Linked DNA regions of Mus musculus. The protein of the gene in region 1 purifies or fractionates together with the protein of each later gene. This does not show direct contact. Links are inferred from orthologs where the notes say so. Each region holds a gene or a part of one and is shown in the gene's direction. Other genes may lie near its edges.

Evidence for each region. The genes of interacting proteins can lie anywhere in the genome.
Region 2: the proteins of Kat7 (region 1) and Brpf3 purify together in Homo sapiens (affinity purification with mass spectrometry; 3 studies listed by BioGRID and IntAct, counting the BioPlex papers as one, with this or other methods). This does not show direct contact. The link is inferred for Mus musculus from reciprocal best matches to the Homo sapiens genes KAT7 and BRPF3.

Annotation. Positions count from the first base shown.
Region 1 is NC_000077.6:95,303,747-95,307,246, reverse strand, and holds part of Kat7 (histone acetyltransferase KAT7), read left to right. Parts: intron 1-1,050; coding exon 1,051-1,198; intron 1,199-3,500. UniProt on the Homo sapiens protein: Catalytic subunit of histone acetyltransferase HBO1 complexes, which specifically mediate acetylation of histone H3 at 'Lys-14' (H3K14ac), thereby regulating various processes, such as gene transcription, protein ubiquitination, immune regulation, stem cell pluripotent and self-renewal maintenance and embryonic development.
Region 2 is NC_000083.6:28,799,968-28,803,925, forward strand, and holds the start of Brpf3 (bromodomain and PHD finger-containing protein 3), read left to right. Parts: upstream 1-1,158; 5' UTR 1,159-1,394; intron 1,395-1,633; exon of another isoform or gene 1,634-1,862; intron 1,863-2,090; exon of another isoform or gene 2,091-2,466; intron 2,467-2,923; exon of another isoform or gene 2,924-3,363; intron 3,364-3,906; exon of another isoform or gene 3,907-3,958. UniProt on the Homo sapiens protein: Scaffold subunit of various histone acetyltransferase (HAT) complexes, such as the MOZ/MORF and HBO1 complexes, which have a histone H3 acetyltransferase activity.

The DNA of each region.
Region 1 (3,500 bases):
GAAGACAGCTACAGTGTACTTACATATAATAATAAATAAATCTTAAAAAAAAAAAAAAGAGCTCCTAGAACTGGAGCTCCAGGTAGTTGTAAGCTGCCATGGATGTTGGGAATTGAACCCAGGTCCTCTGGAAGAGCAGCAAATGCTCTTAACCACCAAACCATCTCTCCAGCCCCAAGAACATACTTTGAAATGACCCCGGTCAGGGTTTCTCTGTAGCTCTGGCTGTCCTGGAACTCTGTTATGTAGACCAGGCTGCCCTGGACTCACAGAGATCTTCTTACTCCTAGGATTAATGGCATACACCACCATGCCCAGCTAATATAATTTTTATTATATTATAATATATAATATAATTTTTGTTGATGGAGAATTTGAATAAAATTTACCCCAAAGTTCAGTGAGGCCTAGCAATAACATTTTATATGCCATCTTGGACTTTTTCTTTTCCTTTTTTTTTTTTAAGGTTTAGTTGTACTATTTTAATTATCTGGATGTGTGTAGGGATGTGTGAGAACAGGTGCCTGCGGAGGCTGGAGGTATTTGGCTCCCTCTGGAGCGGGAGTTACAGACTTCAGTTGTGAACTACCAAGTGGGCAAGTGCTGGCAAATGAACTAGGGTCCTTTGCCGGAGCGGCCTGTGCTGTCAGCCACTGGACTGTGCTTTTTCTTTCGTTTGTCCTTTTTATTTTTTTCTTGACTAGCCAGACCATTTTGATTTGGGTGTTTTGTTGTTGGGTTGGGTGCTTTTATTTCCAATTTCTAGTGATTCAGTCCAGATTGTTTCAGAATTAGTGATAATACACGAAGAATTACTTCTCTTCTCGGTCTGCTGAGTACAGGTGGTTTGGTTGTAGGTCATTCCACTAGCATGTCTGAAAGGAAGGGCAGCGCCTCTGCACAGCAGGGAGGGGAAAGGCTGGCTGGTGGTGGAGTCCTTCCTTATGTTGGAACTTGGTACTTCAGCATCATGGTTCATTTTACTTCCAGTGCTAATAGAAAACTGTAGTAAATGCTTTTGTGCTAATGTCTGGATCTATGGTATTGCAGAGAAATGCAGGCAGTAGTTCAGATGGAACCGAAGATTCCGATTTTTCTACAGATCTCGAGCATACAGACAGTTCAGAGAGTGATGGCACCTCGCGCCGATCTGCCCGAGTCACCCGCTCCTCAGCCAGGCTAAGCCAGAGTTCCCAAGGTAAACATGTTTTCCTTTCCCCTGACTTCTTCACAGTGGACAGTGGTGTCATTCTGTTGTGCTGGTTCATAGGGATACTGCTCCTGAGCTTGATGGAGAGCAGTGGTTCTCAGCCCTCCTAACACTGCGACCCTTTAGTACAATTCTTCATGTTTTCGTGACCCCCCTCCTTTAAATTATTATTTTTTAAAGATTTATTGTGCGTACAGCACCTGTCTGTGTGTGTGCCTGCAGGCCAGAAGAGGGCGCTAGATCTCATTATCGATGGTTATGAGCCACCATGTGGGTGCTGAGACCTCTGGAAGAGCAGCTGTCTCTCCAGCCCCCCATTAAATAATCGTTGTTACTTCATAACCATAGCTTTACTAAGGTTATGCATCATACTGTAAATATCTGATACGCAGGATACCTGACATTTGGCCCCTGTGAAAGGATCATTTAATACCCTACCTACAAAGGGGTTGAGACCCACAGGTTGAAAACCATTGGTATAGGTGGTAGAATGGTCAAAGTGTAAGGCAGCTGCTGAAATACTCGGTCTTCAAAGTGGTTTCTGTCAGATGTTCTTTTATAGGCAGTGGCTTATATAAATGTGAGATGCAGGTGTCTTGAAGACTGTATGGCGTTCGTTATAGGTCATCGTAAAACGATAAAATGGGAATGTTATCTCATCACTATAAAATGGCTTAAGAGTTAAATTGCTTATTGAGTGTGTCAGTGAGATTTAATGCTTCTAAAGGTACTTTTAATTCTAGAATATAGAGTCACATTTGATAGAATAACTTTGAATAAATATTCAGAATGTTGCTTTGGTAGTGAAATAAACAAAAGGCTTGTGGTTAGAAGTACTTGGAAGGCTCTCTAATGTATTTAGTCACTTGGGCTTATGTAGAAGTAGGCTTTTCCCCTCCTAGTTTTATTCAGCATGGAAGAAAGGTTTTTCAGCTAATATACAAAGGTGGTTATCAGTCTGCAACAATAGAGTAAATGGGAAATTATAATATGGCGTCGGGTGTGGTGTTGCACACCTTTAGTCCCAGCACTTTGGAAGCAGAGGCCCGCAGATCTCTGAATTCAAGGCCAGCCCCGTCTATATAGAGTGTTCGAGGCTAGCCAGAGATACTGAGACTCTGGCTTTCAACAAAAAATAACCAAAAAAGTAACTGTGTGTGCGTGTTTTATGTATGTATGTATGTATGTATATATATATATGTATGTATGTATATGTATGTATACATGTCTGTACACATACAAATAAATAAAATGATTTGTTAACAAATCCTTTGGTCAGCCGGGCATGGTGGCGCACGCCTTTAATTCCAGAGGCAGGCGGATTTTTGAGTTCAAGGACAGCCAGGGCTACACAGAGAAACCCTCTTGAAAAAACAAAAAAACAAAAACAAAACCTTTGGAAGCCCAGGGGTGGAGCAACCACATTCTGTGAGAAGGTCTCCTAGAACAGTCTGGAGGAGTCCAGTAGGACTTTGCATATTGAAGATGAGCAAAATATTTTGGGGCAGAAGGAATCATATATACAAAGAGTCATAATGGTTCTTAGACACTGCAGTTAGCTATGCCCTAAAGGTGATGGATATTCAAAACAGAGCTGGGGGGGGGGTCTCTGTAGTTATTTTATTTCATGGCCACAAAGCTACACGATCTTTGGGAGCATCAGTCACAGGGTTTCCTAGTGTGAAGTATAGACAGACTTGTGAAAAGATATAAAGATACCCTAAAACTATATAGTCTTTGGACCCTGCCTGCATACCAACTTACCTCTCCTGACAGTTTGACAATTTCAACTTAGACATTGTCATAGGTTGTCATTTAAAATACTCTTCAGTTTTAGCTTTTATTTTATTTCCTTTAAGAGGCATCAGACTAGAGATGTGAAAGGTCTCTGAAAGCTTTAGAAGAGGGTTCTCTATGGGAAGAACTTAAGGGGCTGGAGAGATGGCTCAGTAGTTAAGAGCACTTAGTTGTTTTTGCAGAGAACCTGGGTTTGACTCCCAGCACCCACATGGCGGCTCACCCCACCGTCGGTAACTCCGTATGAGTACAAGGGTAGTCAAAGAACAAGCAACCTCCTCCCAAATATAGTTTTAGGACATCTGTATTATGATGGGCTATATATAGCAAGGGAAGAAACAGGCATGTCGCTAATATTGGTAAAGAACTCTTTTCCCACTGGGGGTAAGGCACACACGCCTTTAGTCCTAGCAGCTCAGCAGACAGGTGGGTGGATCACTGAGTTTGAGGCCAACCTGGTCTACAAGGCGAGTTCCAGGGCTACACTCAGATT
Region 2 (3,958 bases), on another chromosome or scaffold:
TGTAGTACCCAGGTCCTGGATACCAGAGCCAATCGAGCAATTGAAAGTCTCACCAGCCGTTCGTGTAGAGGAAACGCTTTCAAAATATATCATTCATCTTCATCTTCGATAGCAGTTTATCCATATATCCTTTATAAGCATCATTAAGTATTGGTGCTTAAGATCTCTGTCACGAGGTAAGCTTTCAAATTTATAGGTACATGCGCTCGTGGAGGGGCAAAGGGACCTTTTCTTCTATTTATTTTTTCTTTTATTAGAACAAAAGGCAGCTTGAGTACACTTCAAAGTCTGGGAGTTGCTGTTTGACAGGCAGGCTGCCTTTGAGAAAGCCGTTCAGTGCATTAAATTAACCGACTCCTGGCCAAATCAAATTCAAGGGGAAAAGTATTTCCCATGCCTAGAGTGACAAACGGAATTACGAGGCACGCTTAAGCAGACTGTCAAACTTTTATGTTTACTTAAAAAAAAAAAAACTCCACACAGATGGAAAAGTCTGGTCCGTGGCAGCCTTGTGTGCCAGGAGAGGCTCACCTGTACACACACCACAGGCACGGGTCTTTCCCGGGCTGTCCGCACTGGGGGAGGGGATGGGTGGACATCGCTAGACCTTTGTCCCGGGGGCCTGGGGAGGGACGACTTTCTGGAGGCTTCGCAGCCACCTGCACTCTGGGAAGCCACACACAGTGTGGCCCTCCGGGGTCGTCCTGGGGCGAGCTTTGTGGGTGGGTGGGAGCATGGGCGTTCCCACCTCGGGGGCGGCGGGTGGCCCCACGCTCTGGCTGGGATGGGGTGAGCCACCGCTCCGTGGATTCAGAGTGGGAACCCCGACTAGATCAGCTCTGGGACAGGCCCAGGGTGAAGCGGCCCCGCCGCGTCCGCACCGCCACCGTGAGGCCGTGCCGGGGACGGTGCCCCGTGGAGGTGGCGCTGCCGCTTCGCGCTCATCTCCCCGCCCGTCTCCCCGCCGCCGCTGCCGCCGCGCCGGGCTGGGCTCGGGCGGGGGCATCCGCTCCGGTCTCCCCGCGCTTTCGCGCTCCCGCTTCGCGTGCGGCGGCTCGATCCGGGGAGGGAGTGAGGGAAGGGGTGGAGGTGGCGGGGGGAGGCCGAGGGGCGGATCCTGCCTGGGGGCTGATCCCTCCCTCCCCTCGGCCGGGCTCCGTGGCGGGCGGCAGCGGTGGTGGCGGCGGTGGCTCCATTCCCCCTCCTCCCCCGGGAGAGGCGGCCGGGCCCGGGGAGACGGAGCGGAGGGCCGGAGCGGGAGGAGGCCGCGCTCCCTCAGCCGGGCCGCGCACGGAGCTGCTCGCTCGCCCGGCCCGCTCGCCCGGCCGCTCACCCGGCCGGCCGCGCTCGCGCTCAGGGGGCCCCCGAAGCTAGGGGCCCGGCCGGCGGCTGAGGTAAAATGGGGGCGGCGGCGGCGGGGCCGGAGCGAGCGGGGGCGGCGGGGGCCGGCGGGGAGCGAGCGCTGCGCGCGAGGGGGCGGCCGGGGCGCACAGGGGTGTCCCGATGGGGCGTGGGGGTGACGCGCGACCTCTCCCCCGGAGCGAGGGCGGCGACGAGGCCGGGAAAAGCGCGCGGAAGGGAGCTGCAAAGCGAGGACCCCCTCCCGCACCCGCCATCTTGTTTCTCCCCGGTCCTGGCAGCCAAACGGCTAAGCCCCGCCCTCCCCGTGCTCCCCTATTGGCCTGGCTAGACCAGAGTCCCGCCTTCAGGGGCCGCCCTCGGCGCACGGGTTCCCCCTTGACGGGCAGGTTGGGCGGCCAATAAGTGCTTGCATCTCCGCGTCCTCCCCCCCCCTCCCCACCCCTCCGCCGTTCGCTGGCGCTCGCTTTCTCTGTGAGGGTCGGACTCTGCGTCTATCTGTGGTGCGCCTACCCTCTGGGTTGTTTTTTTTAGGGGGAGATATTTCTCTTTTTTCTCCTTCGGGGGGTGTCGTGAAGATTCCACTGGAAGAGGAGTCCCTTTAAAGGGACAGAGACCTTGTCTGGAGTCTTACCTGGTCTCATGAGTCCCTTGTGTGGCGTGCAGGGCGGGTTCCGTCCAATTGTTGAAACTCCTCATTCGGGGGCCAGGGTGAGGTGGTCGAGTTGGGGATCCCGGGTCGCTAAGAACGTCTCTGAAGGGGGCTGTTGGGGGTACTCGGCAGTGTGTGTATGGGAAGAGTTGTGTACGTGAGGAAACTCCCGCCAAAAAAAAAATACCAACCCTGGTCTAGTTGTTAGCTCCTTGTAGGCGAAACTCTTGGTTTCCCCTGGCAGTAGCCCAGCTGGGTCCCATGGGTTTGCCCCCTGTGATCGCATCGCGGGAGCCCCGAATGGGGATGGAGACGACTTCTGAGACTACAGGATGGGGTTCTTGTAGATTCTTCAAAATCGATACTGAAGTGTGTGTTTCCTCTCCAGAGGCTGCTTGCCTTTGGAGAATTGGGGAATGGAATCTGTTGGCTGGGACTACTTTTGAGACCTTGAGGTTGGTACGGGATCTCGTGCCCTCAGGGCTTCGGGTTGAACAGAAGTGCGGTAAAGGTCCTTTAGCTCCAAATGGTGGTGTATGCCTGCCTCAGGTTGCTCCACAGCCAGGTTAACTTAAGTCACACCTTGGGACTGAGAGGCCTTTACACTGTGGTTGTCAATGGTGACTTATTGATCATCCTTAAGAAGTAGATATTTCTGCCCTTGCTTTTATTACATTTTTATTTTTTTTAAATTTTATGTGCCTGGGCATGTTGCCTGATATATGCCGGGTTCCCCAAGAATTCAGAAGAGGGCTTCCAATACCCTGGAACTGGAGTTACTGGAGTTGTGATCCACAGTGTGGGTGCTAGGCATCCTCTTAAATGCTGTTATTTTTCCAGCATGCATATATATATATAATTATTATTATTAAACAATATGTGTATTGGTGTTTTGCCTAGGAATTGAACCTGGGTCCTCTGGAAGAACAGCCAGTGCTCTCAACTGTGCTGAGCCATCTCTCCTATGAACATTTTACATTTTTAGAGGGTCTCGCTATGTGCGTTGCTAGTCTGAAATACTATATAGATCTGCTTGGCCTCAAATTCCACAGAGAAGGCAGTACTTAAGAATAGCGCCTCTGCCTCCAGAGTACTGGGCTGGAAAGTGTGCTAGTACACCCCACCCCACACTGTTTTATTGATGCACTGTGGAGGCAGAGAAATTCAAAGCTTTGTCCAGGTTACACAGGAGCAGGATTAGAACCTAGGTTGGTGCAGAACATCCTCTCTCTAGAGCTCTCCGAGACTCTTGGTGTTTGTAGCCTCTCAGCTTGCTAGGAGATCTGGATTCACACATTTTTCTGAGCTTCTGTTTTCTCGTGGCTGAAATGGAGATGATGTCTGCACAGTCTCTTGAGGTAGTTGTGAGAAAGATTAAAAAGAAAAGGCCATTGTAGTTTGTTAAAGTATGCTGAGTATAGCCATCCTATCTTAGGTCTTCCTGGTGAGGATGGCCTTGGTAACTGCCTGCAGCTGCTCCTTAGGGGCAGAGAATGCTGGGGGAAGCACCCTGGGTAGATTAGATACAAGTATCAAGGGAGAGAGATTTCTGTGGTAATTGTAGGTGGAGAATTCGCCTCAGATAACCCCCCAATCAACTTGTCCTTGAGTTCAATGAAGACCTTAGACAGACTACTTAAAATTTAAAAGATTTCTTAGAGGCATTCCCAGCTTGCAAGGTTTGTGGTTGGAAATGCCCCAAGTAGTATTGCAGTTATCTTAAGTACTGCCTTCTGCCGGAAGTACCTAGCATATTATATTATTTATAGTCTGAAGCATTTCAGATGTCTTTACTTTGGACAGGGCCAAGAGATAGGGCTTCTAGCCATGAGATGTCTCTGGAGATGTTTTAGATCTGTGATTTTGTTTATTTATTTATTTATTTATTTATTTAGATAACAGGTTCTCACTCTGTATCCCTGCCTGGCCTGGAATTCACTCACTGAA